Linked DNA regions of Alligator mississippiensis. The protein of the gene in region 4 purifies or fractionates together with the protein of the main gene of each other region. This does not show direct contact. Links are inferred from orthologs where the notes say so. Each region holds a gene or a part of one and is shown on either strand. Other genes may lie near its edges.

Evidence for each region.
Region 1: the proteins of PPP2R1A (region 4) and PPFIA3 purify together in Homo sapiens (affinity purification with mass spectrometry; 4 studies listed by BioGRID and IntAct, with this or other methods). This does not show direct contact. The link is inferred for Alligator mississippiensis from reciprocal best matches to the Homo sapiens genes PPP2R1A and PPFIA3.
Region 2: the proteins of PPP2R1A (region 4) and SLMAP purify together in Homo sapiens (co-immunoprecipitation; 5 studies listed by BioGRID and IntAct, with this or other methods). This does not show direct contact. The link is inferred for Alligator mississippiensis from reciprocal best matches to the Homo sapiens genes PPP2R1A and SLMAP.
Region 3: the proteins of PPP2R1A (region 4) and INTS4 purify together in Homo sapiens (affinity purification with mass spectrometry; 3 studies listed by BioGRID and IntAct, with this or other methods). This does not show direct contact. The link is inferred for Alligator mississippiensis from reciprocal best matches to the Homo sapiens genes PPP2R1A and INTS4.

What each region holds. Positions count from the first base shown.
Region 1 is NC_081828.1:39,864,010-39,871,291, reverse strand, and holds the start of PPFIA3 (liprin-alpha-3), read left to right. Parts: upstream 1-4,276; 5' UTR 4,277-4,410; intron 4,411-7,282. Other genes in the region: LIN7B (protein lin-7 homolog B), read left to right, coding at 1-89, 965-986. UniProt on the Homo sapiens protein: May regulate the disassembly of focal adhesions. May localize receptor-like tyrosine phosphatases type 2A at specific sites on the plasma membrane, possibly regulating their interaction with the extracellular environment and their association with substrates.
Region 2 is NC_081835.1:20,914,144-20,921,712, forward strand, and holds the start of SLMAP (sarcolemmal membrane-associated protein), read right to left. Parts: upstream 3,001-7,569; 5' UTR 2,921-3,000; exon of another isoform or gene 2,805-2,920; 5' UTR 1,972-2,804; coding exon 1,774-1,971; intron 1-1,773. UniProt on the Homo sapiens protein: Associates with the striatin-interacting phosphatase and kinase (STRIPAK) core complex, forming the extended (SIKE1:SLMAP)STRIPAK complex.
Region 3 is NC_081824.1:465,164,228-465,172,175, reverse strand, and holds the start of INTS4 (integrator complex subunit 4), read right to left. Parts: upstream 3,001-7,948; 5' UTR 2,911-3,000; coding exon 2,857-2,910; intron 2,778-2,856; coding exon 2,586-2,777; intron 1-2,585. UniProt on the Homo sapiens protein: Component of the integrator complex, a multiprotein complex that terminates RNA polymerase II (Pol II) transcription in the promoter-proximal region of genes.
Region 4 is NC_081838.1:29,895,001-29,902,086, reverse strand, and holds the start of PPP2R1A (serine/threonine-protein phosphatase 2A 65 kDa regulatory subunit A alpha isoform), read left to right. Parts: upstream 1-4,078; 5' UTR 4,079-4,114; coding exon 4,115-4,192; intron 4,193-5,786; coding exon 5,787-5,877; intron 5,878-6,059; coding exon 6,060-6,160; intron 6,161-6,627; coding exon 6,628-6,860; intron 6,861-7,086. UniProt on the Homo sapiens protein: The PR65 subunit of protein phosphatase 2A serves as a scaffolding molecule to coordinate the assembly of the catalytic subunit and a variable regulatory B subunit.

The DNA.
Region 1 (7,282 bases), on a different chromosome or scaffold from region 4:
CGCTACACACCCAAGGTGCTGGAGGAGATGGAGGCCCGCTTCGAGAAGATGCGCACGGCCCGGCGCCGTCAGCAGCACGCCAGCTACTCGTAAGGGACCCCCTGGCCCTCTCCATTCCTCCCAGCTACTCATAAGGGAGCCTCCCACCCACCCCAGCATGCCAGCCACTTGTAAGGGATCCCCCAGCTATTTGTAAGAAACCCCCTTGGTATTCCAAGTGCCACCCCTCTCCCTCCCCCCCCCAGGACAGCAGGTACTTGTATGACAGTCCCCAGATCCCCACAGCATAACAGCTTCTCATAAGCAGTCACCCTAAAACAGCAGGTACTCATATGGGACTCCCTGGGGCTTCCACACCCTGCCCACCCCTCCCAGGCTCCATGCAGCACAGCAGCTACCCCATAAGAGACCCCCAAACCATGCAGCCTCAGCCAGTCACCTGTAAGCACTGCCTCAGGCCTGGAACCGCCTGTCCTCCTTGCTGGGAGTCCTTGGCAGCAGCACCTTCCCAGAGACCCCTGAAGTCCGCCCCCACCAGCTCCTCAATGCTCCCCTCCAGCCATGGCAGCTACTTCAAAGGACCCCCCCTGAAACCCTGCAAACCCCCCCCCCCCCCCAATTTGCCAACTTATTCCTCCACTTCAGGGCTCCACACAGTCCCTACCGATTGTGTCTGCTTCAGTTACTCATAGGGAATCCCTGCCCCCACAACCTGTCAGCTAATAAAGACCCCCCCAGACCCCTTGGGAGCTGCCCAAAGCCCCTGGCCCAGGAGTACCAAGCCCATGACCCTGCAGCCTACCCCACAGCCTGCTAAGGGGCCCCCCCTTGGCCTCTCCATGCCCCCCCTGGCCCCTGGCACCCCCTTCATAGCCCAGCAACCCCCAGGGTTAGGTCCCTCTTTACCCTGGGGACCCTTCCCCCCCATCCCGAGCCTGAATAACTCCTGCCTCTGTCTCCCCAGGTCACTGGAGTCACGAGGATAACGCCTCATCCCCTGGTGTCTTGGCAGGAGGGTGCTGAAGACACCCCCCCCCCCCCCCCCCCAAGTTCTGTAAGTGGCTGGCTGACCCCACCTTGGGAGGCAGGGGCCTCTTCCCTCCCACTTTCCCCAGTCTAGCTACCCTTCCCCACCCCCAGTTCTCAGTATGGCTGCATCTGCTGCTCCAGCTCCTCTCTGTACAGTATTTATTTCCTCTCTATTTAAAGCCCTTCCCCGTATGTGAGTCAGAGCGAGTGTGAATCCATGCGGCTGCCTTGCACGTCTGTGAGAACCAGAGGCAATGGGAATACCCCCTGGGCACACGCACATACATGTCTATATACACACACACACACCTGTGTCCATCCCCAGAGGTGGCTGCACCTCTGTGCCAGGCAAGGGGGTACCCTTACTGTGCCCCCCCCCTCCCCCTGCCCAACTTTGAAAGTGAGTGCAGTGCAGTGAATGGCCACTGGGTGGTGAGAGCTGCAGTGCTCCCCACCACTGGTCGTGCCCCTCACTCCTGACCTGCTGCCCCCACCTTGCTCCCCAGCCCTGCCGGTGCCCCTCACTCCCAACCCACAGCTCTTTTTTTTTTCCCCCAGCCTGGCTGGTGCCCCTCACACCTCAGACCATTTCTGTTACCCTGCCCCAAACCCCCTGTTACCCCTTCTGGAGCAGGGGACCCAAGCATCTATGAGCCTCCTGCAAGGGTGTAGCAAGCCCTGCTCAGCCCCCCACATATTGGCTGTGGGAGAAGGGGCCAGGCCTGGGAAATGGGGCCCTGCCCCACTCCCCAGCACTAACTCAACTCCCCCCCCCCCAGGTGCCTGGTTTGGTCCAGCGGCTCTGGTGCCTGGGAAAGCGCTTGAAATTCCTAAGGGGGGGGTGGAAGGGGGAGGGGGGGCCAGCAGCCGGGATGCCTGGGTTTTCTCCCCACTCTGGGAGGGGAGCAGAGCCTGTCTCCTGGCAAGCCAATACCTGGGCCCTGCAGATTGTGCTTGGATCGTGTCTCTGTGAATAAAGGTGTGAGCGAGTCCGTGACATACTGATCCCTGTCGTTTGTGTTGCCAGTATCTCGTGTGACCTGCCGAGGCTGCAACACCCCTCTAGCAGGCTGGGCTGAGAGTGGAGTGTCCCCTGCTTCTCTCCCTCCCTCCCTCCCAGCTTGGCATCACCCAGGACCTGGAGCTGAGCAGGTTGGGATCCCCTACCCACCAGCCTTGTGGACCTCTGTGCATCTCCCCTGGGGAGGGACTTCCAGGTGCTGACAGTGAACAGATCCTATGGAAACAGGGCTGGGACAGCCAGGGGCACTGGCTGCCTGGGAGGGGAGTTGCAGGGATAGGGCAGTATCTTGCCTCTCTGAGTGGGCACCATGCCGAGGAAATGGGGGCACCAGCTGGCTGGAGGAGGGGAATATTTTTTGTCTGCTAGTTCCATCCAAAAGCTAACCCCCTTCCCTACCTTCTCCCAAGCCTCATGGTAGTGGCCTGATGATCACCTGGGCATCCTTGTGTGCATTCATGCAACACTAGTTTGAGGAGGAGGGTGGCAAATGGACATCTGTATGCAACAAAGGCACCTGAGGTGAGCAGAGGTGCACTGTGGGAGTTCATGGGCCACTGCTGTCCCACACTGCAGGGCTGGTGGTGTGTTTCCTTGTGTTGCACATGCTAGTGAATGGCTGGGGGCATCGGTCAGTTGTCTCCTGCCCCTTCTGGGGGGGCACCCCTCCCCACCCATCTTGTCCCCTGGCTTACAGGTTTCAGGCCTGGTTCTTGGTTTTGCTGAGGGTGGGGGCTGGGTGGATGTTGTGGGGCAAAGGGACCCTGGCCTCTAGGGTGGAGATCAGACCAAGGCTTGATGCAGACTGTAAAGGACTGTTTAAGCAGCTGGAGCTGCAGGATCTCCGTACTATCAGAAGAGTCTGCCCGTGCCATGAGGCTGCATGCGAAGGTGTGACACTATGTGAAAGCATGTGCTCTGGATCAGTGTTATGCTTGTGACTCCTGCTGCTGTTGCTGCTCCTGCCCTCCCTGCCCCCAGAGCCCTTCCAGGTACATGTGTGCCCTGTGTGGTGGGGGTGAAGCAAGTCATGTGCGTGGAGGCCTCCAGCTTTCATGGGTTTCATTGTGTTGCACTCTATTTGTTGCACATGTCTTGGGTTCTTGTGCATTGCATGTTCCGCATGTTGCACGTGTCTTGGGTTTCTGTGGGTTGCTCCACTGTTCTGCATGTCACACATGTCTTGGGGCTCCTGTGGGTCACACTGTGGTGTATTCTGCGTGTCACATGTCTGACTTGGGCTCTGGTGCATCACACTTTGGCATATTCTGCAACATACGTGTGTCTTGGGCTCTTGTGGATCACACCTTGGAGTGTTATAGGTGTCAAGCATCTCAGGCTCTTGTGGGTCACATCATGGTGTGTTCTGCCTGATACACATGTGCCTCACTCTTGTGCATTGCACCATGGAGTGTTGTGCATTTGGTGTGTGCAGGCTGGTGTGTTTCTCTGCACCAGGGCTGCTGATCCACCATCTTCCCAGGCTCCTCCTGCTGATCTGTGTGACAGCAGTGCACTTGTGGACATGGGGCAGTGGGGTGTGGAGCTCTCCAGGGTGGCACAAAAGTGCCTGTTTCTCCTGTGGGGTTGCAAGTGTGTTCTGGTGTTTCATGGGCTACTGCTAACCCCCACGGGGCCTGGTGTGTCCTTGTGTTGCATGTGCTAGTGAACCTCCTGTGCTGGCACGACCTGGTGTGCTTCTGTTGTGTGGCATGTTTCCTGGAGTGTGCCCACGGTGTGGTGTTTGTCTGTGGTCTGGTGTGTGCCCATCACGTGGCGCGTAGCCATGGCCTGGCGTTTCCCTGGGTTGCACGTGTCCGTGGCTCTTCGTGCGCGCCCTGGTAAAGGCGCTGGTGCCCTCCTGAGCCAGGAGCACCCACTCCCCCGCCCCGCAGCCCCCAGCCCCTCCCCCGCTACCAGCCACCCACCGGATGACATCATCCTCAAACCTAACCCCGCCCCCCAGTCTCTCCATTGGCCTGCAGCTTCCCCCCCCACACGCCCCATTGGCCGGCTAGCTCTGCCACTTGGAACCCCACCGCCCCCTCCCACCCCCGCGCGGGGGCGGGGCTGAGGGGCTGCCCCGGCGTTTCTCCGGCTCTCATTGGGTGGCGGCACTGTCCGTCAGGGATCTCTTAAAGGGGCCGGTGGGGAGGGGGGAGGGGGCTCCGCCTGCCGGCGCTCGGCGCTGGGGAGGGGGCGGCATGGCGCGGGGCAGCGGCGTCCTGCGGGGCGCGGGGGCAGCGGCGGGCAGCGGCGCCTGAGTGGGCGCGGGGGGAGCGACCCCCTCCATCCCCCTGCAGCCCAGCCCGGCCCGGCCCGGCCCGGCCCGCCGCAGCGTCCGCACCGGCAGTGCAGAGGTAGGGCCGGCGTCCCCGCCCCACCCCGAACACCCTGCCCCTGCCCCGCCGTGTGCCCGGCTCCCCCGCGCCCACACTGCCCCCAGCGCACCTCGGTGCCCCCCTCCCCTCATGCCCGGTGGCTCACCCCTTCTCGGCCCGCACCTCCGGGCACCCGCATCGCGCACAGCCCGGCCCCCTGCAGCCGCTGCTCGTCCGCACCCCCCGGAGCCCCCCAGCCCGGCCTCCCAGTGCCCACCCTGTGCACCTTCCCCCTCCGCGCCCCCACACGGATGGCTCTGCCCGGTCCCTGCACCCACTGCCTGTCCTCCCCAACCCCCACTGCACCTGCCTGCCCCCCAGGCACCTCCATTGCCCACACCACACTGCACCCTGCCAGTGCCCTCTTTGTACCTCTGCACTGCCACCCCATGCACCTCCATCCCATCCTGCCCGAAAGCTCACTGCTGAGCGTTGACTTGAGCCCTGCCCCCCCCACCATGTACCTGCCCTGGACCCCCTCCCTGCACCCTATTGCCCATCCCCCATGATGTATCTGCCTAGGCCTGGGCCCCACCCGTGCACCCCCAACCCATCTGCCTCCCTCCTGCACCTATTGCCCATGCCCTGCAACCCCCATCACACAGGCTTTGCCCCATACCCCCCACAACATCATCCAGTCTATGCTGTTCCTACCCCAGCCCTGATTTTCCCCCCACACCCCAGCCTGGGGTCCCTTCTAGGGGGTGGTGGCTACGCTGTCCCTTGGCTTCCTCCCTTACAGGAGCTTCCCCCCACCAAGTCTGCAGGGCGATGGAGTCTGTGTCTGCAGCTAGGCTGGGAGGAGGGGTCTGGCTTTCAGGGTGCCAGGCAGTATCTCTGTCTTCCCCTCCTCCCCCTCCCCCACAGCCTGGCTGGGGGGGGCGGCTTAGAGCCCCGTGGACCCCCCCACATTCATCTCCTTGTGGGGCTGGCAGGGAGGAGGAAGGGGGGCATCTGTGCTGGGAAGAGGCCTTGGGCCAGGGTGGATTCTTTGCTGGGGGGGATCTTTGCTCCCCAGAAAGGGCCCCAGGCTCAGACCCTGCTCCCTGCCCCCCTTCTCAAAGTCTGCACACATCCCTCTGCCACCTCAGTCAGGTGTGAACAGGTGCAAAGGGGAAGGAGAGCCCCTCCCCTGCTCATGCTTGCTGAGGGTGGAGGGGGGGGCATGTGGACTCAGGCTTGCATGCATTCACACAGCCCTGCACACGCGTGTATGTTGCCCTACACTTGTGCCCACTCACATGCCACAGACCCGCTTGTGCACTGTATCCATGATGTGGGGGTGCATGCGCTGGCATCGGTCCCTTTCCATGTTCTCTGGGACATGCATGGTGCTGTTGTGACACACCATTGGTGCGACACCTGTATGCTGGCATAAGCTGGGAGGCAGTGTTGGCATGATGTGTGTAGGTGGAGTCTCCACACCTTGTGCAACACATGTGCGGCATCACAGACATGCTAGTGTGCTATTGGTGTGATGCGTACACCATGGGTGTGATATCCTTTTGCACATGCTGGGGCACTATTGCTGTGGCACCCTGGTGTATGATTGCTCCGTGGCCCACATGCCAGTGCATGCACTGATACTGTGTTGGTATATGATACATGCTTGTGTCTGGAAGCGGGGAGGGGGGTGTCTGGAAGTCCAAAGCCTTGAGGATCACAGGAGCCAGAGGGGAGGGTCCTGGAGTGATTGTGGTATGGCTGAGGGTGCACAGGCATGTCTGTATGTGTTGGGCCTCTGTGCATGAGGGCACTGGTGTGTTTCTGCATGTGGGGTCATATCTGTAGGTACACAGGGATCTGTGTGTATGTGGAAGGAGACTATCTCCATGAGGATGCAAGGGGCTCAAACCAGCTGTGGTGTGCCCAAGTGTGCCCGCATGTCAGTGACTGTGTGCGTCCCGGCCTGTGTTGGTGCCCAGGCCCCAGTGTGTGGCAGTTGCACATGTTGCTGTTGGGGAGGAATGAGGTATGTGCATCAAGGGCATGCATGTGCAGATGTGCCATGGTCCTAATGCATGTGTGTAAGTTGGCACACAGGACCAAAGTTGACTGGAGCATGTTGCCGTGTGGTTCTGTCCTTCAGCCCCCTGTGAAGTAGGGTGCACCTGAGTGTGTGTGTGTGCGTGCACGTGCGCACACATATGCTTGAGCCCCCATGTCTGTGCGTGTGTGTGCATGTGTGCATGTGTCCCTGCATGTGCACGAGTCCCCAAGTGTTCACTAGGATTTGTACAAGCACCCTTAGGAATCATATGTGTGTGTTTGCACATGTGTGGCTCTGCATACCGTGTGGCATGGGCCCCTGAGGACTTGGGTGCACATGTGTGGTTCTGTGTACCAGGCTCTGCAGTGGTCTGAGGAAACTGTAAACACCTTGGAGTTTGCATGGGTGTGTTGTATGTCTGTGTGAACATGTGTGGCCCTACATGCCACATTGTGCCAGGTCCCAGGTAGCTGTGTGTGTGTGATCACATTTGCTTGCATGTGTGTGATCACATGTTTGCACCTGCATAGGTGGCTTCGTGTGCAGTGTTGTGCAGGGCCCAGGGGAGCTGGGTGTGTTTGTGTGTGTGCACATGTGTTTGCCCATGGCTCCATGCACTGCTTTATTCATGGAACTGGGTGCCTGCATGCCTACCTGTGCATTGGTGTATCCATGTGCAAGAGAGCAAGTGTGCTGCAGCATACAAAGCCCTGAGGCCTTGTGCATACATGTAAATGTGTGCACTGTGCTGTGCAAAGCCGCAGGGAGCTGCTGGGGACTGTGTGTTCACACAAGCACATGCATGTTGTGCAAGACCTGAAGGAGCTGTGCTGGTTCATGCACACGTGTCCTATGTGGCAA
Region 2 (7,569 bases), on a different chromosome or scaffold from region 4:
TCTGTATGTTGAAAGCTCATGTTTTACTTGCATTGGTAAGTCTAAAGCTAACTGCACTAGACTAAAACAACAGAGCTGCTTATCTTTTAAGCTCTCCCAACACTTAGCTGATTTGCCCACCATCAAAGCCTCCCTGTGAATGAAATGAACCTTGCGTAAAAAAGGGCATCTTTATTCATATCACAAGAGTGTTAAGCAGCTTAATTAAGTTTGTAAAGCACCGAGAAGCTCAGGCAGAAAGCAGAATAAAATTGGAATGCATCTGTCAAAAATGCTGGACTACACCAGATAGTTTAGGTTACTGCATCCAACTTATTATTTCAAACAAGAAAAACTGCATATTAGCTCACACTTGAAAGCATCCCAGGTCTTTAAACTGACGTTATAACCTAAACGGCTTATATGCAATGCATCAAGCATGCATCTCTTCTACAGCATCACATGGAATCATAACGCGTCAAATAAAATAGCAAAACAAATAATAGGTTAATGAGCAATTATGCCCAAGTAATCTACAAGTCATGCCCCAACCCAACCTAATAAAGTTAAACTCATGTCCTGTCCCATCATGCCTATGTATTGCATAACATATAGTAGTTAACATCTGAAGCTTTAAGAATTGTCAGGGTATCGCACTGGTCCTCATGCTGTGTCATGATAATAAAGAAAACAAACAAAAAGAAAAAACCGGGTGCAGCAGCTTATTCAGGGTATTCTGTTAGAATACAAAGCAATAAAAAGAGTAATTAATAGAGGAACACATAAAGACAGTCATCAGACAACTGAATTAGATTACAGTATGTAAAGTATCACACCCATTTTATATCCATTTTTCAAAATGTTTCATGCTTTTTAGTACATATTTTTGAGAGGACTGAAGATTTTGAGGGGAAAGAAAACAGCTCTCACTACTAGTTAGCAGTTTAAATATTTTGTTTGACAGGTTAAGCAAAGTGATTTTGCCTGTTCCAGTTCAGACCCTAGTGGACATAAACAAGTATTACAAAGCTCTTAAACTTCCATTTAGTGCTAGCTGCTGTCCTCTTTCGAGAGGACTGTGGCCAGGTTAACACCACATCAGCATATTTTAATTCCAGTTCACGAGCAATGATAGCAGATAATCCAAACCTTAAACTACAATGCTCCTGCTAGTGATACTGTGACTATCAGCTTGGAGTATTAAAATATATTGTTCAAAAGTTGATAGCATAAATTGGCAGAATACCAGAGTAATACATTTTTTTTCCTTCGCTATTTTCCTTTTGGCATGACAGCTGCTCAAAATTAAGAGTTATTCTTCTGAGCATATGAATACCAGATATATATTTAAGTATTAGGAAAAAAATACATGCCGATACATCCATTTTAACACAGCACTGGGGCGAGATGCCAGTTCCACCAGAATAACAATAACTATTCATGGTTACCATGATGAGCATTTATTTACCTTACTTCAGGTTTTATAACTCAGTTCCTTGAGTTATATAAAATACTCCTCCCTGAAAGTCATGCATCCCCAGAAATGAGAAGTGATCATGGGAAGATCCACCAGCTTCCTCTACTACTTAATGCATTTCACAAACCCTGCTCTCAGTTTTTTTTGCCTTTAGTAGAGTTTAAGTTAACTAAAACCCCAAAACCCTAGCCGCAGCATAAACTTAGTTTGCAACCAAGTTCAAGGAAAAACACAAGTCGCTCACAATGTACAGTGACTTGCTGAAAATAACCTGTCATATATTATTTTCCTCTCCAGGAGAGCAAAAATGGCCTTACCTTGCCTGTCTTGTGGTCAAACCAGACAAGTGCATGGTTCCTGGACAGCACCTTGCAGTCAAAAGTAGCATTATTCTGAGCTGGCCGACAGCGGGCCACTGAGCGGCCAATTTTGACGGGCTCGTCCAGGTAGACATGGCGCTCCTGAAACGGGTGAGAGTTCGGGCGGCAAGCGAAGATGGCCAAGGCTGAAGGCATCGAGGACAGATTGCGGTTGTCACAACAACCAGGGAGGAAGAGAATCTCTTCTGATGCAGGCTACCCTCCACAATTTTTAACCCAAATCTCCAGAAACTTTACATGAACGCAAGACAAACATCACTTGCACCCAGCGAGGCCTAACAACGCACAGTTTCAGTGTGTAAACTAATCCTGGCAATAATCCAGTGAAAAAGCCCCATCATGTCCACGAAGAAGATCAGCAGTGCCTCAAGCGACGCCCAGAAGACGCAGCTTTCAATCCATCCTCTTCGGAGCAGACAGGAACAACCATGGGGCTCCTCCGAAGAGGAGTGCGCTCCTTTGAACGAAGCAAGGGAGATCTTTAAAGCCAAGCTGATGAGTCACACGCCAAGACTTCTGTTTGGGATGGATGCAGGCTACCTCCCCCTCGATTTTTCCCCCACCCCCTTCCGTAAACAAGGCTGACTGGACACCCACAATGTGGGAGCGAGGAAAGGCGTGAAGGAGGAGCCGGGGAAGGGCACGGCGCAGCGTCCAGGCACACGGCGAACGAAGCCTTCAAGGGGCAGGTGGCTTAGCTGGTCCCCGCGACCTGCCGCATCCCGCCGCCCTCATCCCTGGAGAGGAGCCAGTGGTCCAAGATTGGGGGGGGCGACGCGGCTGCTCCTGCCCGGGCCGGGGGCCGGCGGGGGGCGCGGAGCGAGGCCGCCTCCGCGGTTCCCGGGCGCGGGGCGGCGCTCAGGGGCCCCGCAGGTGGCTGCGCATCCGGGTGGCGCCCGCTCCTGCGGCCTGGAGACCGGGCCGGGTCTCGCTCAGGCGGCCGCCGACGCCGAAAACTTTCCTCCGACCTGCAAAGCCAAAGAAACGGCGTCAGAGTCGCCCGGCCCGGCCCGTGCGGGCGCCGCAGCGCTCCCCGCCCTTCTTACCTTCCCCGCTGCAGCCGCCATAGTGACTGCAAACCTACCCGGTGCGGCGGCGGCGGCAGCGGCCGGGAGGCGGGTGATGGCGGGGGAAGGGGGGGCAGCCGGGGGAGGGAGGAGCCGCTCGCACCGGGCCTGACCAAAGGGAAGGCCCCGCGCCCGCCTCCCACTTTCTGCGCAGGCGCGGGTTCGGCAGGGCGCAGGCGCGGGATTGTAGCGCCTGCGCGCTGAGTGCCGTGAAGCGGCGCTGGAGGTGGTGCCCGCACTTGCGGGCTGCGCTTCCGGGTGTTCCATGCGGCGGCGACGGGCCGCAGGTGCGGGGCGCGTGGAGGGGAGGAGGTGCCGACAGCCTCAGCTCGCTGCGAGCCGGTGGGGCCCGGGGCCGCTCTCCCACGTGGGGTCGGGGAGGGTGCTTCTCGTTGTAACTAAACCGGCGGACAGTGCAGCGGTGTTTGCTGCCCCCCCCCCCCGGGTTTTCCTGCCCCCCCCCCGGGTTTTCCTGCCCCGGCCTCGGCTCGGAGGTTCTTCTCTGCGCGGCTGCGAGGCGTGTCTCACTTTCGCAAGGCATTCGCCTATCTATTCGGCTGGGTCTTAACCCAATTAAAGTCCCAGATTGCAAGAGAGCGAGACGTGGGAAGGATAATTGCAGAGGCAGGGCTGAGCAGAGGACAGGAGAGGACAAAAAAAAAAAAGAGTTAGGTATCCACTGTGCAATGCCCGCCTCTTACTCAGCATTTTCCGTCGGTAGATTATAAAGCAGGTCCGTATGTATTTTTATTTTACAAAGAGGGGGAATTGAGGCCAAAGAGATTTGCTCAAAATCAAGTAAAATGCAGTGGTGGAACTGGTCTCTCGAGTACTAGTTCAATGTGGCCCTTGGCCATTCAGTCTCCTTGAGGCTCGCTGGCAGTTTGAGCGATACAGATAAAAAATGAAGTCTGGCCATCAGATAAGATCACCCTTTGACACAGTATGCAGAGGAGGGTAGTTAGGGATACAGCCCTGAGAGATGGAAGTGGAGGTCAGGCAGGAAAAATAAGAACAACGAATGAAGAGAGAGAGGCCGGCCGTGAACAATCAATGAGAGAGACTGGAATTGTGAAAAGTGCCAGAAGCCCAAGAGGAAGGAAGAGTGGTGGATAACTGTGTCAAGGGTAACAAAGGTCAAAGCAGAATGAAAACATAGGACATGGCAGAAAGAGAAGTCTTAGGGGAGGGAAGAGACTAAAAGCCAGGTGGCACTGAATCAATTACGGTGTTGGAAGCAGGGAAGTGATATCTAAGATGAGAAACGACTGCATAATTTTGAAGGCAAAAAGGGAAAAGTGATAGAGGGGTAACTGTACAAGAGGTATGAAACTATGGTAGTGATTTTCAAACTTCAAGACATTGCACTGTTTCCAAAACTCAAAAGCATATGGCATATCACCTACAAATTGGTATATTTAAAATAGAGGCTTATTTTGCTGACATATCTCAAATTTATCTGATTGTGACCCAGAACCCACAATCAGAAAATAAGTTTATTTAATGAGTGTCATTACGTAGGCTGTTTGTAGCAAGTCATGGGGAAAAGGAATCTTATAAAAGGATTAGGGACACGGTGAGCGAAATTCAAATGTTACAGCAAATGGATTGGATAAACAGATTGACTTACTAGAAATACATTCAGACATTTTGAAGGTGGGGAGAATAGAAAAGGAGATGGTAGAAAAATGTATGCTCATGGGGCAAAGGATAGGACAGAATTCCTGTGAGAACAAATCCTTTTAAATATTTGGAAGGATCTTGGATTGATTGATTGAAAGGAAAGAGGGTTTGATGATGAGACTCAAGGGGAAAAAACATCAGAGAAAAAAATTATACTCTGTGGGAGCGGGGAATAAAATGATTAGAGGACAGCAGAAATAGAGAAATAACATCTTCTGATCACTCACTGTATGTAGGTTTTACAATTACAGTTTTTTAAAACCAAACACACACGGTGTTGTCTTATAGTCTACATATTTTCCTTTTTACTTCAGTTCTTATTTAACAAACTGGAGAAAGTGGGGGTGCAAAACAGCTTCTGGGGTCTTTGATACCTTTCAAAGTGTCCCTCTGACCAGCAAAAGGAACAGGTGGCTAGGCATCTGTAATGGGCTCTGGTGCAGAATTTGCAACTGTAGACTAATTGCCAGGAGTAAAGATGACTTACAAGTACATGCTCAGTTCAGGCAAACTGTCATTTGCCACAGAGCCTAAGAGGTGAAATTTGACAACCATGTTAGATAAGGGCAGGAAGATCACATTCAGTGGCCATCATAGTTAAGGGCAGAAAGTCTATAAGTGTTATATATGACAGCCATCATTGTTTAGGGCAAAGACAATTGTCAGTAGCCATTTTGGATAAGGGAATGAAGGGCAAATCACCTTTACCCTTCTAGGGGAGATGACGCCTGCCAGACTTGTGGAATGCAGCATCTTTGAGTCATGTGCATACCTGCCTAACGTTAGGACTTTGGCCTGAATGTCTGGAATGTTTCTTAGGTCCTGCAGGGTGCTCAACATTTAAAGAACTTTTATTGCAGGGACACAGCCATAAATTCAAACTTAACTAGGATCATTTGGGGAAAAAATTGGAACAGCACTGTGGACTAGGTGATCAAAAAAATCAAAATAAATAACAGGATATATCAAGTATAGAAATTATCACTTGGCACTTTGTATATATGGCAGAGGAATGATACTTACCCTGTCCTTTTCAAGTTAGTACATGGAAATGTGCTGTCAGCTATATCCTGCCTAGATGCGAGTGGGCATCTTGAGTGGGAATTCCAGGAAAAAGTTTCACTATAGAAAAGTTCTGGAGTCTCTGGTATAAGGAACAGGATGGGAAATGATATTGGAAAATATTATGTTGCTGTTAGATGAGCCAGTAGTACACAGAATAATGTGTTCATTTTTTGTCATTCTATATCAAATAAAATAGAGCAGGACCATGACTATAGGGAACAGAGACATTCCAGAGAGACTATTTCCAGGAAATTAAACAGAGGCAATTGAGAGACTTCCAAATGACAAGAGACTGGAGAGATTGAAGAGACTGGGATTCATGTTGCCTCTAAGTCTAAAAGGCCCCAGTAAAACACACCTTCACTTGTGTCAGTAGGGCCTGCCTGCTGTACCTGGGAAACTGCATCCCTTCTAGCATTCTGCTTTCCAAACAATTAAAACAACCATGGGCAGATATATAATTTGAAAAGGGGGTGCTGATGGTGAGGTGCATCATCCCACATATTTTTCTCTAGTTAAAAATAAATTAGAAGCTTTACTAATATGTCGAATAACTTGTAATAACTGTATTATTCAGTTTAAGATTCAAGAAAAATATAAGTAACTTATATTCAAATGTAAGTTGGAGTGAGTTAAAAACTATCTCAGAGCTGTGAAACAGGAGCTTTATTACAGGAGCAGCAACTAACAGATGGTGGAATTGCAGAACAAACAATAACCTGATGAGTGGAATATCCAGACCTTTGTATCGGCACCAATGTAAAGAAAGTTGATTGCGTCAGAAATTGGCCTGATGTGGCCGATAATTTGGCCAATAAATTAATAGATTAATAGACCATAAGGCTGAAAGGGACCTCAGAAGTTCATTGGGTCCAGCCCTCTGCACCAAGCAGGGAAGACAATTGGGATCAGGTGACCTCAGCAATGTGCCTGTCCGGTCTTTTGAAGATCTCCAGTGTAGGCGATTGCACCACCTCTGGAGAGAGCTTATTCCACAGTCTGGACACCCTAGTTCTGAAGTAGTTTTTCTTAATGTTGAGCCTGAAATAGTCTTCCAGAAGTTTGTGACCATTACTTGTAGTTTTCCCCAAAGGTGCCCTGGTGAACAGTTGTTCACCGAGCCCTTGACATATGCCTCTGATGTAACTGTAAGCTGCTACCAAGTCCCTTCTCAGCCTTCTTTTTTCCAGGCTGAAGAGTTCCAGATCCCTCAGCCTTTCCTCATATGGCTTGCTGTGCAAGTCTCTCATCATACGGGTGGCCCTTCTCTGGACTCACTCAAGCTTTAGCGTGTCCTTGTTAAAGTGTGGTGCCCAGAACTGGACGCACTATTCCAGCTGTGGTCTCACCAGTGCCGAGTAGAGTGGGAAAATCACTTCTTTGGTTGTGCTGGAGGTATATAATGTCAACCTACATGCCACAACGCAGCAGCATGAAGAGCTGCATCCAGCTGGTAAGTCTGTTGTGGTGGAAGGAAGGGGTGTGGTGGGGGGGCAGAGCAACACCCTCCCAGGGGGAGGGAGGGAGGGAGTGGGCAACACCTGCCCCTGCTCCATTGGGGCAGGGCATGGGATGGAGCCATGGCTCGTCTGTGGGGCACGGAGGAGGGAGGGGCTTTCCCCACTGTGTGCACCCTGGGAGGGTATGGGGGGCTTGTGCCCCTGGATCTGCACAGGGTGCAGGCAAGTTGGGCTGCGGTCGTGGGCCGGGGCTGCTCCAGGCTCTTCCCAGGACATGTGGGCTTTGCTCAGAACTGTGCTCCTGGCGCATGAGGGCTGTGCTCAAGGCTACACTCGGGGCAGCAGGCAGGGTACTGGGAGAGAAACTATGGCAAAATTTGGGGTGGCTGCAGTCCCCACCCCCATAACCTCTCTCCCAGCACTGCCAGCACCCTCCCTAAGCACAGCCCCAGCCCAAT
Region 3 (7,948 bases), on a different chromosome or scaffold from region 4:
AATTGTGATTTTATTTTATTTTTTTTAATTTAAAAGACTTTTGAATTGATTTTCCTTTACTCCCAGAAAAGCCAGGGAAACCTACCCTACCCTCTAGGCCCAGCGATCACCTCATGGACCAGTACAGAAGTGACTTGTAGCCCCTCTTCCTGGTGAAGTGAAAGAGCTGGGAAAAGGTTGTCTAGACTGTTCTAGTTAAAACGGAGAGTCCTCAAAGGTTATATTTTCAAAACAGCACAGCTCTCACCCCATTTAGGCACCAAGTGAGTGGCCATGTTTTCAGAGGAGTTCAGCAGGCTGGATGCCAGGCTCTTTAAAAAGTCTGACCAGGAGCACCATAACCAGAGTTAGTGCATGTCGAAAACTGGCCCCTATTGCAGAGGCTCAGTACTGGAAATACTGGCCTCATGTGCGGATTTAAAACTGTTCCTTCCAACACTGGCTCACTTGTCCTTATCTACGCAGAATTTCATCTACCTTCTGATTGTACAACGGCTCCCAACAAGATGATATGCATCTGAACCCTAGATAAGTCCCCTGAAATACAAACAGTGCTCAATCTCTAGCCTGCGGGCCAAATCTGGCCTGAGCAGCCATATCATCCAGTCTGTAGGACTCTTCATGGTGGGAGGGGAACTGGGCAACCTTAATTGCTGCTCCCCTGCTGCCAAGTTTCCAGACCCATGGGGAGCCCAGCAGACTGGATAGCATGGTTCTGCAATGGCCACACAGGGCACAATCTAGACACTGACTCTGCACAGATCTGGCCCGCGGACTGGCTTCATGCTACTCACCCAGCCCACAGGGCCAAAAGGTTGACCATATTCTAACGAATAATAAGCATGCTACCTAGACAGTTTCATTCAACTGTTCCTACTCAAGATCACAAAAAAGAGAGAAAATCATGTTACAGGCAAAATGTTCCAACACCTTCTTAGGGTCAGGGCCTTGATATATTAGGTTCCCTACATTGTGGGGTTTTCTTTTTTCTAAGAACATTGTAAATTCATATTTGGAAAAGAACTAGTACAGGTTTCCCTTGCTTTATGCAGGTTCTGTATGTGTGAAATCGCTCTTATGCAATGACTCTTTTTATACCAAACCTTTATTATATGCAAGATAAATTCACTTGTATGCAATCAGTGTAGTGGAGGCCTGCAGTCAGTTGCTTTGTGCGGAGCATTGTGGGAGTGATGCCATAGACAGAGGAAGAAAAAATTGGGGGGGACTGAGCCGGGTGGTGGTGCCTGGGTCAGGCTACAGCACCAGCCCCTACAGCCTGACCTAGTCCAGTCCCATCAGCGCAGAGCCCTGGCAGCTGGTGCCCGTGCTTCTGGAGCCACAGCTGTGCTTGTGTGTACTGTCTGCTGTTGGTGAATACCAAAGTTATCTTGTAAGAGTGGCAGAAGTGGGTCTGGGGGGCAGTACAGTTGAGCTCTTGGAAGTATCCCTATTTGTTACATTGTAAAGTAGGTCGGTCCCCTTTATGCAAATTCAAGTTATGTGCTGTTTTCCAAGAACTCATGTACACCATAAGCGAGGGAAACATGTGTAGCTGATCCAACATCTTGTAAAGCGAGTAAGAACGGCTATAAGGAGCCTCCACATCATTTGTTTAAACAGAACAGGATTCACGGGGTTAAAAAACAGAGTTCGCTCTAAACCTCTCACCTACAAAATATTTTCTTTCCAGCCAGACAGCAGATTCCTGGGCTGAAACTGAAACTTCCCTCATGACTTCTTCAACAGGGCAAGTGAATGACTGATTTAAAACGAAACTGTTATAAGGATCTGCAGAAACAAAGCTTCAGCTTGCAATAAAGACCCATTATTTACAATAAGGCTATGATTCGCAAGACAAAGCTGAAGGACGACCAAGGAGAAGACCACCATCTTGACAGCAAAATGTGTTATTTCTCTTGTTTTTTAATAAAACTTAACTTGAAGGGTGATGATGACAGAGACTAGATCGGCAGCCTAGAGTAAGAATCTGCCTGTTCACAAACCAGATACAGCAATCACTTTCTAGCTTCTCTCACACCAAGCTACCCCAATAACTAAAGCCTGACCCTGAAGGAGATAGCGCATATGCAGAATATGTGCTAACTCCTTCGCCTGTCTGCTGAAACAGACAACAAAAACACCAAGGTTGTAAAAGCTGCAGTACAATTCATACAGGGGATGGGCAGTGAATAAGGAAGGCTGGCACCTTGGAGGCTAACTGGTTCAGAGAGACAATCTTTTGCAGGTGACAAGCTATTTCATCAAACATAAGGAATGGACGCTCCTCACATCTGATGAAGCTGCTGCCTGTGAAAGCTGGTGCTTCTCCAAACCAGTGAGCCTCCATGTTTGAAGCCTGCCTTACCTAAAGCCTGATTCAGACTAACACAGCCAAGCACCTCTATACAAGCTCATCAGACTCTTGCGTAGTTATATGCTAACCTGTGGCAGGCGTCATGCTAGTGGCACGGGCAGCCTGCATGTGGCACGTGGCAGATCAGGAAGGGACACGCAGCATGGTGGGGAGGGACAGACAGAGAGAGAGGGCAGGGAGCGGATGGCGGAGCCGCAGCCCGGCCCACCTTGTAGTAGTGCTCTAGCAGGATGCGGACGACGCCCTCGACGCTCTCGGCCTCCACAGGCTGGCGGGCGAAGTGCAGCAGGTGCTGCAGCGCGTCGGCGGCCGAGGCGGCCTTGCACAGGTCCACGTGCAGCGCCGCCGACTTGCTGGGCTTGGCCAGGCGCAGCTTCTTGGCCGCCGGCTCCTCGTGCTGCTGCGGGCGGAGGGCTGTTAGTGCGGGCGGGCGGACCCCCCCCCTTCCCTTCCCTTCCCGTCCCTTCCCCGGCCGTTACCTGCACCACTTTGGTGAACTCCTCGTACACCCGCTTCTTCAGGTGCGCCGCCATCTTGGGCGCCACCTTTCACCTGCGCGGCTTGAGCCGCCGCCGCCACCGTAGCCGGCTTGTCTCTCTCAGCGTCCCGCAGCACACAGAGGAAACGAGACGGGCCTCTCTAGGACCGCGGAGGTCTTCCTCTCAATGGTCCACGAAGGGGGCGGGGCTTGCTGTGGGAGCCAGGCTGTCCCCTTTGAGAAATGCAGATCCCTGAGTCAGGAGCTGCCTTTGCAGCCTGGTGCAGGGGCAGGGGGTCATGCTAATGCTGCCACTGGCCTGGCTGCTGCACGCGTGGGGTGCACCACTGAGGCACCCTGTGCGTGGCACTAGGGTGCAAATGAAGGGGGAGCTTGGGGGTGGGGGGGCTCCCCATAAGAGATATAAGATTTGGAAATTATAACCTAGGGAGGGGGGGGTCTCCGAGCAGATTGCTCCTTCGCTGAGCTGGATTTGTTCATCAATGAACTGGTTTAATTTTGTTTGCAGGCTCCCCCGCAAGGGTCCAAGTGTCATTCGAGCCCTGCCTGGCACGCTCTGCGCTCACAGCCGTGGCTGTCCACAAGGATGGAGCGCGTGGTCCTTGGCAGGCACGAATTCACCAGACACTGGAGAGAGACCCACACCTCCCTTTAGCTGCAGTTGGCCGAGCTTTAACAAGCAGCATCCAGGCGTGGCAGGAGATATGCCTCTTTCTTAGTAAATCAGTATAATTTGGGGGCTGGCTCCTCACTTTTCACTTCCCCAGTGTGAGGAGGGGGGTGTATCGAGCACCACAAACACATCCCTGTTTCTGCATCTCCTCACGTACACTGAATTTACAGCTCAGTGCATCCTAATCAAGACGCTGCTCTGTGGGTCCTAGAGCCCCCACTTCATTTCTTGCAAGGCCTGACTTACTTGTGTATGCTTTTGCCTGCGTGGGGTTGCCAGGGGAGGGCTGTTGCTGCTCAATTCAGGGAGGCGGGAGGATCAGTTCCTGTTGCCATTGTTCTTGTTGGCTGGTTCAGCACTGTGCCCTGATCAATACCTGCACGTGTGCTCAGAACGTGGTCTAAAGGCACAGGTAAAATATATAGAAGAAGGTCTCGCTTCGTGCCAATTATTTACAGTTTCCCCTAAGGCTTGGACAACCCGATGTCACTGGCAGTGTGCCTTTGATTGCAGGCAGGGGGCATCAGGTCCTGATCCTGATGTCTCTTTAAATAGGGAAAAATCCCAACCTCTTTTCAAATGGGAGGATTTGGTCTGCAAGCTCGATGAGTGTGCTGCAGCAGGGGTTGGGCTGGAGGCTGGGTACATAAGGGTGAAGCTGTTTTGCCGAAGGTTTCCCGGCCTGATTCATGCGTGATGGTTCAAGCAGCACTCAGATGTACATGAAGAAATACTTCATTGCCTGTTGTTTATTGGTTGTGGTTGGTTGTTTGGCTTGTGTTCTCTATTTTCAGGAAAGGTTTGAAGCTGTGCAGAAGCAACCCAAACTCTCCAAAAAAATGTCTGTTCTAAGATGCGTTGGGAAATTCCAGGACAGTTTATTTGGTTTTTGGTGAAATTAAGAAGACCCTTCCCTGGGAAACTATCTTCAGTTTCACAGGGAGGCTGGGCAGTCCCTCCATAAGACAGGATTTTATAAATACCAAAATTATAAAGGGAACCCAGGTTTTAAACTTTCTGTTTTCCAAAGAGAGAGGCCAAATACCAGTTTTGACTCTGGAGCTGTGTGTAGATTTGAAACCCATTTCCCTCACACTTGGGTGTTTGGATTTGAAAGGATAGTTTCTCAAAATACCAGTCAGTCACATAGACTCATAGAGAAGATATTGGGACAAATGCATTACTGCTGCAAGACCCAATCATGTCTGTAAGGGATACGGGACTTCGATCTATAATGTCTAACAATAATATCACCACCAGCACCACTTAAATTCCATGCTTGAGACGTGTCTTTCTAAACTTGAGGCATCTTTCGTGTTAGTAACAAGACCAAGAACTCAGCTTTTGGGTTTGCATCTGACCATTTTGCACAGCCCTGAGCTTGACATACATCCTCCTGATAGTCCCCTCTGTGACATCCTATGAAATGCTGAGCTCCCTCACCTGTGGTTGACTGCCTTGAAAGCAGAATGAGCTCAGTGAACCACAGGACCAGGTTCTTTTCCCTTGAAGTCAAGGGAGACTTTTATTTCAATGTACCTAGGATCTGAGCTTAGAGCTCTGGACCTTAGAGCAACGGACCTTAGCACTAATTGGGAATGTTGCATGCTCAGGACATTGAGGGTCAGGGCCAGGATTTTCAGAAGTCACCAGGGATAGTGAGTGCTGATGAACACAGAGCTGTTTCCCCCTCCCTCCTCCCCAGTTCCAGCACTCGGCATCCTTCCCCCCACACTCAGCTGAAACAGGAACTCAGAAACAACTGAGAGGGGAGGAGGTGGGAAGCAGTGTCCCATTTCGAGACAAGAAAGATATAGTCACTCTGCTTAAAGGTGTCTCAAGTTGGACACCAAAATTCATACATTAAAAGAAATCATAGAAATACAGGGCAGAAAGGGTCTTCAGGATGTCATATGCTCCATCATCCTGCTGTGAAGTAGGAACCTCCCCAAGATGTACCTAGGCTCTCCCTGACAGCTGTCTGGCTAACCTGTTCCTAAAAACTAGACACAGCCCCCTAGGTAACTTGTTCCAGTGCTTAACTATTCTTATAGTTAGCAAGTCTTTTCTTAAGAGCTAATCTGGATGGCCACTGCTGCAAATCAAGTAGATGACAACTTCTATGCTTAAAAGACACAGAGAGTAATTCACCACCATCCCCTTTAGAATAAACTTCAGTCTGCTCTTTTTAGACTAAGCTAACCAGATCCTTTTAACATTTCCTCTTTCTAAACCTTTTTAGACACCTCCTAAAAAGTTAACTTCTTGCTTAAGCTTCTAAATATTATGGCACTAACCTTCCTCACACTTATTCCTGTTGTCCACAGTATAACTGCATTGGCTCAAGTGGAGTTATTCCTTATTCACACTCCTGGAATACCTGCACCAGCAGTCAGTCCTTCTATACTGTATTTTACTTTTTTAAACCTGTAGTGTACAAGGAGAACAGATGAATAAAGAAGGCCCATCTAATTTGTACAAAGAGGCTTTTAAACATATATTTATTTAGCAACCTGTAATACACGTTGCCCTTGGGGCAACCCATATTCTCAGAGTTAGAGTAAACATACCCACAAACTCGAATGGCCAGTCTAATTTTCCAGGCCCCCCTGCAGCTTTCCATTTCCTTAAAATCACCAACTGTGGCCTCAAGTAGAAAAATAAATACAAAATAAACTTCTGAATCTTAAGAATTTTTCAAAACAGTGTATGAGATCTAATCCTGCGCCCCTGCTCAGGCAAAAATTCTCCACTGAGTTTTGTTTTAGGAGCACTCCTTTCCAAAATCATTGTGGATTTTTCTTACAGCTCGAAAGCCCGCATTCATTTGCAACGTGACGACATTAACAGATGTCGCAAGAAAAGCAGCTAAACACAGCTGCACTCAAGAGGAGTGCATGTTCCTCTTAAATGACAAACAGTTTTTGTTCTGTGTTTGTACAGTACATAGCACACTGAGGTCCTTGTCCAGAACTGGGGCTCTATGGCCCTACTGCAAGACAATACATGAAAATAAACATAATTATATTTGCTTAGGAATAGCTTGTCAGCCTGGACAGCATAACATCTTTCTTTATGGTGAGAGAGGGCCCTGATGATTCTCTTTTTTAATGTGGGATCCTGGTATGGAAAAGGATGACAAACACTATGCAAAGGCATGGGTGCTCAACCTCCAGCCTACAAGACACATGCAGCTTGCAGAGCCATGGCACAGGAATTTGGCAGTGGTGGGGAGCAGTGATGATTAATACCACCACCCTCCCCTGATGTTAGATTCCCAAGTCCCGTGCAGTGGGTTGGAGCTGGGCCATACACCCTTCTTGTGGGGCTGAGCCATGCCCTCTGCCAGACCAAACCCCCTTCCCCTGCATACCCGAATCATGGCTGAAAGGGGGCCAGGCCATACCCTCTTCCCCTCATGGGGCTATGCTATGCTTCTTCCCCACCCTGGGGGGCCTCGCTGGGACCTGGCTAACCCCCTTATGTCACATGGCTGGATCAAGGTCGGGCTGCCCCATCCCGCTCCCCACACCTGGATGGGGCCACATCTGACTTGTGCGTCAGACTGGCATCCAGCCCGTGGACAGACCAGGCACTGCCCATCCAGCCTGCTGGGCAAACTGTACTACAGCAGTGGTTTTCAACCTTTTTTCATTTGCAGACCCCTAAAAAAAAATTGAATGGAGGTGCAGATCCCTTTGAATTATAACTGTGGCTATTCACCTGCTTTTGATTGATCATAGTCATCTTTCATGGACCCCTTAGACATAGTCTGTGGACCCCCAGGTGGCCACAGAGCACAGGCTAAAAGCCACTGTGCTACAGCATTTAACTTCTCAGTGGAGGACCAAATATAACCATGGCAAGAATGAGCACAGCTCCCAGGAGGTTCAATGGGAGTTGCATGTGCTCATATGACTTTCATCTGAATATGTATAACTAATCTAAAGGACCTTCAGAGTGAAGTTATAATCAAACTAAGGACTTGGTGTCCTGCATTTATTCCGTCCCACTGACACTGCCAGATCTGATGGGCTGCTCTACAAAGATGATCCCCATGCCCCTGCCACCCTGGAAATGCAACCTCGTGTCTGGAGGTGGAGCTGCCTATTATCCTCCCTGTTCCTCAAAAATAAACATTATGGATTGGGTCCTTTGAATGTTTGCACTGCTCCCACAGTTGTTTCTTGCAGTCAAACTGGTTGGCAGGTCCCAGAAGGATCCCCACAGAGCCAAGGGGATCTTTTGGTGGCAGTGCATTGCAGAGAGTTTTCTCTTCTACTGCCAGTCCTGGCTTCTGGCATAGAATTAGGTGAGAGGGAAAAGGGGAAGGACAGTGCATCCCTATCCTGCTCTGGGTCCTGACAGCAGTTTTAATCTCTCAGGGCTTTTAGGAATG
Region 4 (7,086 bases):
GGTGGCTGGGAGGGACTGGGTGGTGCCCAGCTCATTTCAGGCCTCTCAGGCGTAGGCACTGCAGTGCTGGGGGCCGGCACTCAGCTCCAGCACAAACCCGGGCAGAGGGGTGATCATTGTGGTACCAGGCCCAGGCGGGTGCAGGGCAGCCCCCGCCTTCCCTTCCCCGGTGCAGCTGAGCCGCACACCCGTGACCTCCAGCACCTGCCCCTAGGGCTCCAGCACCAGCTACACAGCCTCCAACGGGTCTGCAGGCAAGGGGAGGGTTTTAGAGGGGTGGGCAGGGCCTGTGGGTGCCTGGGTTTGGTGAAAGCCTGAGCCTGGTAGTGCCAAGGATGAGGCCTGAGCGTGCTGGACAGGCTGGGGGAGTGGGGCTTGGCGTGATGGGTAGGGCCTGGGGTGGGTGAGAGCCTGCACCTTAAATCAGAAGAGGTGGGGCTTGAGGATGACAGACAGGCAGAGTGGGCGGGACCAGGGAAGCAGATGCCAGGCTTGGGCAACAGCCTGAACCCAGGGCTACAAATGGGATGGGGCTTAGGCTGATAGACAGGTCTGTAGCTGCCATTTTCCTGCTTTCCTGCCCACTGGCCGCTCTGGCATTACGTGGTTCCTGGCTGCATTGCTAGATAGCGGGAGCACAGGGCCCACACCAGTACCCCGGGGCCTGGAACAGGAGTTGGGGGTAGGGGGCAGTTTGCCTGCACACATCCATGCAGTGAGAGAGGGGGAGAGAGAGACAAAGCAATGACAGAGTATGCGTGTTTATAGGGCAAGTCACACACCCCACTATATACATACACCCACCCTCGCTTGCATTGCCATACACACAGACCCCCACACCCACTCCCCCTCCCACATCTCTGCCACCCTCTTCCCCACACACAACCTCCCACAAACCCCAAACCCACCCACACCCCACATATCCACATACACCCACATGCTCCCTCACCCCACGCCTATCCACCCCCACAGAATCCTCCCACCTCCACCCTCCCCCACACCCCGCATACCCACAGCCCCCCACAAATCTATATGCACCCCCTGTGCCCCACCCAATAGACAACCATAAGACTTCATTTTAAGCTATTATACAATCACCTCTGTGTAGACTCAGCAAGCACATGTAAATCAGGACAAAAATATTTTTGAAACCAAATTAATGCATGTTTTCAATGTTTGATTTTTAAACTATAGTTTGGTACTTTTCTGGTTCTGAGATGGCAAAACCCCTTACTGAAAGGACAGACAAGGTTCTTTTGGAGGCAAGGGGAAGGACTTGTGCATAAACGACCCGTGCCCCTGGCAGCTGGTGGGGCACAGTGGCAGGGGGAGCATGGCGACAGCAATGGGAGGACAGTGGCGGTGAGCGGGGAGCTCCTGCAGCTGCCACCGGCAGCATTGGCGGCAGCCCATGGGGATCGCTGACCGCCCACAGACGCCACTGGCAGTGCCGGCGGCAAGGTGGTGAATGGCAACCACCTGCAAGCACCTTTTTGGAGGGGATGCACTGCCATGCTCAGGGGGTGCATGTGCACCTGCGTACACCCCCTAGGCATCACCCCTGGACTTCTGGTGGCAGGCGGCAGGACTTCCAGTCCCAAGATGATGACCAGGGGGCGGGGCACCTGTTAATGGGTGGGGCTACCCATGTGGCCCTCAGCAGCTTGCCAGAACCCGAAAATAATTGCCCGCCCCTGGTTTAGATGCTGCAGCTGTCTATGTTGGTTCCCCCAACACCTCCCACTACCTCCCCCACCCACCTAAACATACCTGTAGGGGGCGCTGAGGCAGGGAATCAGGGGTCAAGTGAGGGGAACCAGCAGGGCTGGGACATAGGCGAATGGTGCCACCTTAGCCCAAAATCACTTACTGGGTTGGACTCGGGTGCTGGGAGTGCCTGTGGAGGCTTGCCATGGCCTGAGATGCGCCCAGCTCTGGGGTGGAACTGGCGGGAAACAGTCAGTGACCGTCTGGGACAGGAAGTGGGGACCTCGGGCCAGACACGGCTGGGGCAGGTGCTGTCATGGGCAGATGTGGAAGTGGCCCAAACCAGGGCCTAAGCAGGATTCAGCCTCTCCCTGCTGTTAGGAGAGAGATCCCAGGTGTCTGGGCTTGCACAACCCCCTGCTCTCACCCACCTGCCCCTGTTGCCCAGAGATCCCAGGCGTCCGGGCTCCCAGGGGATAGAAGGTGCATGTGTCCAGGCCCGCTTGTTAGACCCGAGGCTGCTCATGGTGCCAGACTTTTAATCGCTCCCTCTAGCGTCCATCCATCCATGCCTCCCTCCCTCCCTCCATCCATCATCCATCTTTATATTCATTCACTCCTCCATCCCCAGAGGCCCCCCCTCTTCATCTGTCCATCCATGCATGCTCAGATGCCTTCTTCAGATGCGGGTCAGGAGTGACGGGGCAGGGCTGGGGGGAGCAGGGGCTGCGGGTTGGGCGTGGGGGGCACGGGCTCACCCCAGCCCCGGCCCTTCCTGCTCTGTTGCAGGATACGTCTGGGGACGAAGCAGCCAGAGGTGAGAGCTCAGCCCCCACACGGCCGCCCGGATGCGACCTGGACCCCCGTCCGGCCCTGCTACATCGGGGGCCTGGTATCTCAGCCCAGCCTGGTATCTCCTCCCGCTCTTCTGCCTTGATTAGCCCCATGGCCACGAGCAGGGGCTGGGTCTCCCCACTGTGTCCCCCCTTGGCGCGATGCTCAGGAGCCGCTCAGGGTCTCTGGGGACAAAACATAGGAGGCTTCAGGAAAGATGGAGCCGCAAGGGCCCCTGTATATGTAAGAGGGCAGCAATGTGCTGGTTCCCCTGTTTTGGAGCTGATTTCCTTTCCCGGTCACCATCAAAAACCTCCTAAATGCTTGCGTTCGGCTGCATCTTTTAGGAAGTCAAGAGAAGAGGGGAGTTGTTGCGTGTTTGCAGCTCTGGCCGAGAGGGGGCTGGTGCAGGGTACCATGAAACAATGGAGAGAGGCCGAGAGAGGAGCGTGTGGGACTAGGCAGGTAGGTATGTGCATAGGTGGATGGATGGATGGATGGGTGGATTGACGTAGCGCAGAAGGTGGGCTGCATGGGGATGGATGGGTGGGTGGATGAGTAGATAAATAGACCGATAGACGTGTCGGTGGGTAGAAGGACGAGTGAATAGACGTGTATAGGAGCAGATCGGTGAGACGGTGTATCGGTGGCTGGAGAGAGAGGTGGGGAGCGGGGCGGGGCTCGGAGCAGGCAGGCCGGGCGGGAGCGGGTCCGTGGGCTGTGGCGCGGGGGGAGGCAGCCGGATCGGGGTCTCGGGCGGCAGGCGAGGTCCCGGGCCCCATAACATCCACTGTGGGGGCCACAACGATCCTAGCTGGTGCTCTGACATCACAGCGAGTGTTATGTCATCCCCTGGGCTGCAATGTCATCTTGGGTATGACCTCATCAGCGCAGGGCTTTGTGACGTCACCCACGGCGCTGTGGCATCATGAAGGCACCCACAGTGCTGCTCCCGTGACAGAGCCAAGATGGCCGACCTTGCGGTTGCTAAGGGCAACAAGTATCATTCCCCGCCTTAGAACCACCCAAGCCCCAGTCGTTCTCGAGGGTTACATTAGGATTGGACTAGTGCCATGTCAATCAAATCGAGTGGCCAATTATCTGAGAGAGAGGGCGGGCGCTGGGACACGGAGTGCCGTTTTCCTCCCCCAATAGAGTGTAAGTGAACGGAGATTGACAGGAACTATCTAGCCAATGAGAAAGCAGAGGCGGGAATTCAGAGGGACGCAACCAATAGGATTTAAAGGAAGGTGGGGTACTTTGAGCTCTCGCCCAATGGCGTTGTGGAAGAGGCGGGTGCACTGGCCCCAAACCCAATGGCGCTTGTAGCGCAGAGGGGACGGACCAAGTGTCATCCAACCAATTAGAGCGCGGGCTGGATGTGGCTGACACACCCCTTCGGCCAATCACATCAGGGGAAGCGGGGAGACACTCTAAGTGACCGCCAGCCCAGCCAGTGATAAGAGAGAAGGGCAAGACAGGGGCCCCGGCCCAGCCAATCAGCGCGGGGCCACCCCTGCAAGGCGGCTAAGGCGTCCCCGCGGCTCTTCAGTAGCTGGAGCCGGGAGCAAAGATGGCGGCGGCCGACGGCGACGACTCGCTCTACCCCATCGCGGTGCTGATCGACGAGCTCCGCAACGAAGACGTACAGGTACCGGCGGCGTCGGGGCCCCTTAGGCCGCACCGGCGTCCGCCATCAGCCCGGCGCTCAATCACGCGCCGCGTCTCATTGCCGCAGCGTGGTTCGGGGCATGAGAGGAGGTGCCTCATTGGCCGCCGGCGCCCCTCGTTGGAATGAACGCGGGGGGACCGATGTGGGGGGGCTCGTCTGAACCCCGAAACCCCTTCGGGGGAATGAGGAGCCCCTTGATTGGGCGGAGCAGCGCCTATCGGGGCGCCCCTCACTCCCTGGATCCTCTTCGGCGTGAGAGGAAGCCCCTGATTGGCTCAGAGCTTCGGACTGGGGTCAGTGAGGGACGCTGTTTGTTGTCGAATCCTGCATTGTCTTTTGTGGGATGGGACGAGCCCCCTGATTGGCTGGCATCCCCCATTCATTCCCGTGAGACCCCTCATTTCCTTTTGGGGGAGGTGCTGAGAGCAGTTTCTGATTGGTTGTTTGCTGGAGATTATAGAACCTATTGGGGGGCCTGATTTATTGCATTGAGGGAACAAAGTGTGTGTGGTGGGGGGGGGGGACAGGATGAGAGGAGTTGACTGATTGGTTCTTCCTGTACCCGTACCCCTGTACCTCTATGGGGGCCAATTGGAGGGGCTGTTTCACACTAGGGGTCCTTTTGAGGCGGGGGGAGGGGGGGTGATTATAATGGGTTCCTGCCTATGAATGGGTGGTGTAAGGCTCCTTCTTTTTAGGTGGGGTGGGCAGAGCCTATGGGACCAATCCTGGCTTGTTCCCTGTGGTAGATCCATCCTAGGAGCCAATCAGAACCTTTCTCGGTGTCACGCCTGGTCTGGTTGACTGCAGGAGGCTTCCTCAGCTGCCAATGACAGCCTTTCCCCGCTCTCCTGGCATTCCCTGCTATTGGCTGGGATCCCATGGTATATTCCTGCAGGGCGGGGCTTGTAGCAGCCAATCGGAGTTTTCAGCCATAAAATGCAGCCTTCTCAGCCGCCCGCCCCTCCCCGGGATGGGGGCGTGGCCGGCAAGGCTGTCCCACCTGGTTGGCTGGAGCAGAGGTTGCTATGGGGGAGGCAAGTCCTCCCCACGGTCTGTGGGGGGAGGGCAAATATACCCCCCACCCCTGGGGGGGGCAGTTAGGGGATCTGCCCCAGTGGGTGGGGCTTCTGGGGTGGGTGGGGCTATATGGGACTGGCTGGGCAGGTTGGACCAGCTGTGACACAGGAAGGGGCGGAGCCATGCAGGGGCAGGGACCTGGTCTGTCGCAGGACACCCAGGTTCTCTGCCCGGGGCCTAGGGCAGAGCTGAGGGTGGGGCCCGGACGCCTGGCTTCTCTCCAGCTCTGCGGGGGGACACGCACATTAGAGCCCCCGGCTCATCCTCAAACCTGAATCAATGCGCCCCTCCCCCCGCCATCCCCAATCACTCCTGACCCGCAGCCCCCTGTCCCCCAAACCTAGCTGGTGCCCTCAGGCCTCCCCTCCCCTCCTGCCGTAGCAGGGACCTGGTGCCCCCCGTGTTTAACCATTGATGTGCCAGCCGGGCCTCAGTGCCCCCGTGACCTCAAGGAGCCTTTGCCCATCCCCTGTGATCCCCACTCTCCCCACAGCTCCGGCTGAACAGCATCAAGAAGCTGTCGACCATCGCGCTGGCGCTGGGCGTGGAGCGCACCCGCAGCGAGCTCCTCCCCTTCCTCACAGGTACCCACAGGCCTGGGTTCTCTGGGAGGGGGGAGAGGCTGGGGGGTGACAGTCCGGGGTGCTGGGAGCCTGGATGCCTGGGTTCTTCGGGGGGGCAGAGGATCAGAGCAGGGTTGGGGGGCTCGGACAGCTGGATTCTTCGGTTGCTGTCAGCAGCCTCTGTCCCTCTTCTCCCCCCGCAGACACTATCTACGATGAAGATGAAGTGCTGCTGGCACTGGCCGAGCAGCTGGGCACCTTCACCGCCCTTGTCGGGGGGCCCGAGTATGTGCACTGCCTGCTGGTACGTGCCCTGGTTGCCTGGGTTTTTTGGGGGGTGGGGGGGGATGGTCCTGGGAACTTGGGCAGTGGAGCATAGTTGGGCAAGGGTGCCCGGATGCCTGGGTTCAGGGCTGGCTCTGGGATTTTGGGGCATGGTCCTGGATGCCTGGGTCCTTTCCCAGCTCTATATGGCCCGTGGGCTCCCCTTGCGGGGGTGTGGTGGTGCCCCCGGACACCTGGGTCTCTGTGGCCAGGATGGGGCCGGATCTCCCAGACACCTGGGTTCAGTGTTGGTTCTGGGAGGTGGGGAGGATTCTACAGGGCCTGCCCTCCCAGATGCCTGGGTCCTCCCCTGACCTGAGGCAGAGAGGGGGCAGGACTGTTGGGTGGGGGGGCAGGGCCTTTTAGGGGGAAGTTGACCTGGATGCCTGGGTTCCCCCCGGGCCTGCCCCACCCTGCCCTGAGCTCCCGGATGCCTGGGTCCCACAGCCACCGCTGGAGAGCCTGGCAACAGTGGAGGAGACCGTGGTGCGGGACAAGGCAGTGGAGTCCCTGCGGGCCACGTCCCATGAGCACTCGCCGGCTGACCTGGAGGCTCATTTCGTGCCCCTAGTGAAGCGCCTAGCGGGTGGCGACTGGTTCACATCCCGTACCTCAGCCTGCGGCCTCTTCAGCGTCTGCTACCCCCGCGTGTCCAGCGCCGTCAAGGCTGAGCTGCGCCAGTGAGTGCCTGTCATGGAGAGGAGGGAAAACTGAGGCTGGGGGGTGGTACAACCATGGTGGGGGGGACTGAGGCAGGGGGCAGGGTGATTTGGGGGCAGAAGAGAGGCTGGGAGGGGTGGGGATGTTTGGGGGCGGCAGGGCCATGGCGGGGGAAACAGATACAAGGGGTCATTTTGGGGGAAACAAGCTGGGAGTGGGCAGAGCTGTTGGGCTAGGGCCATTGGG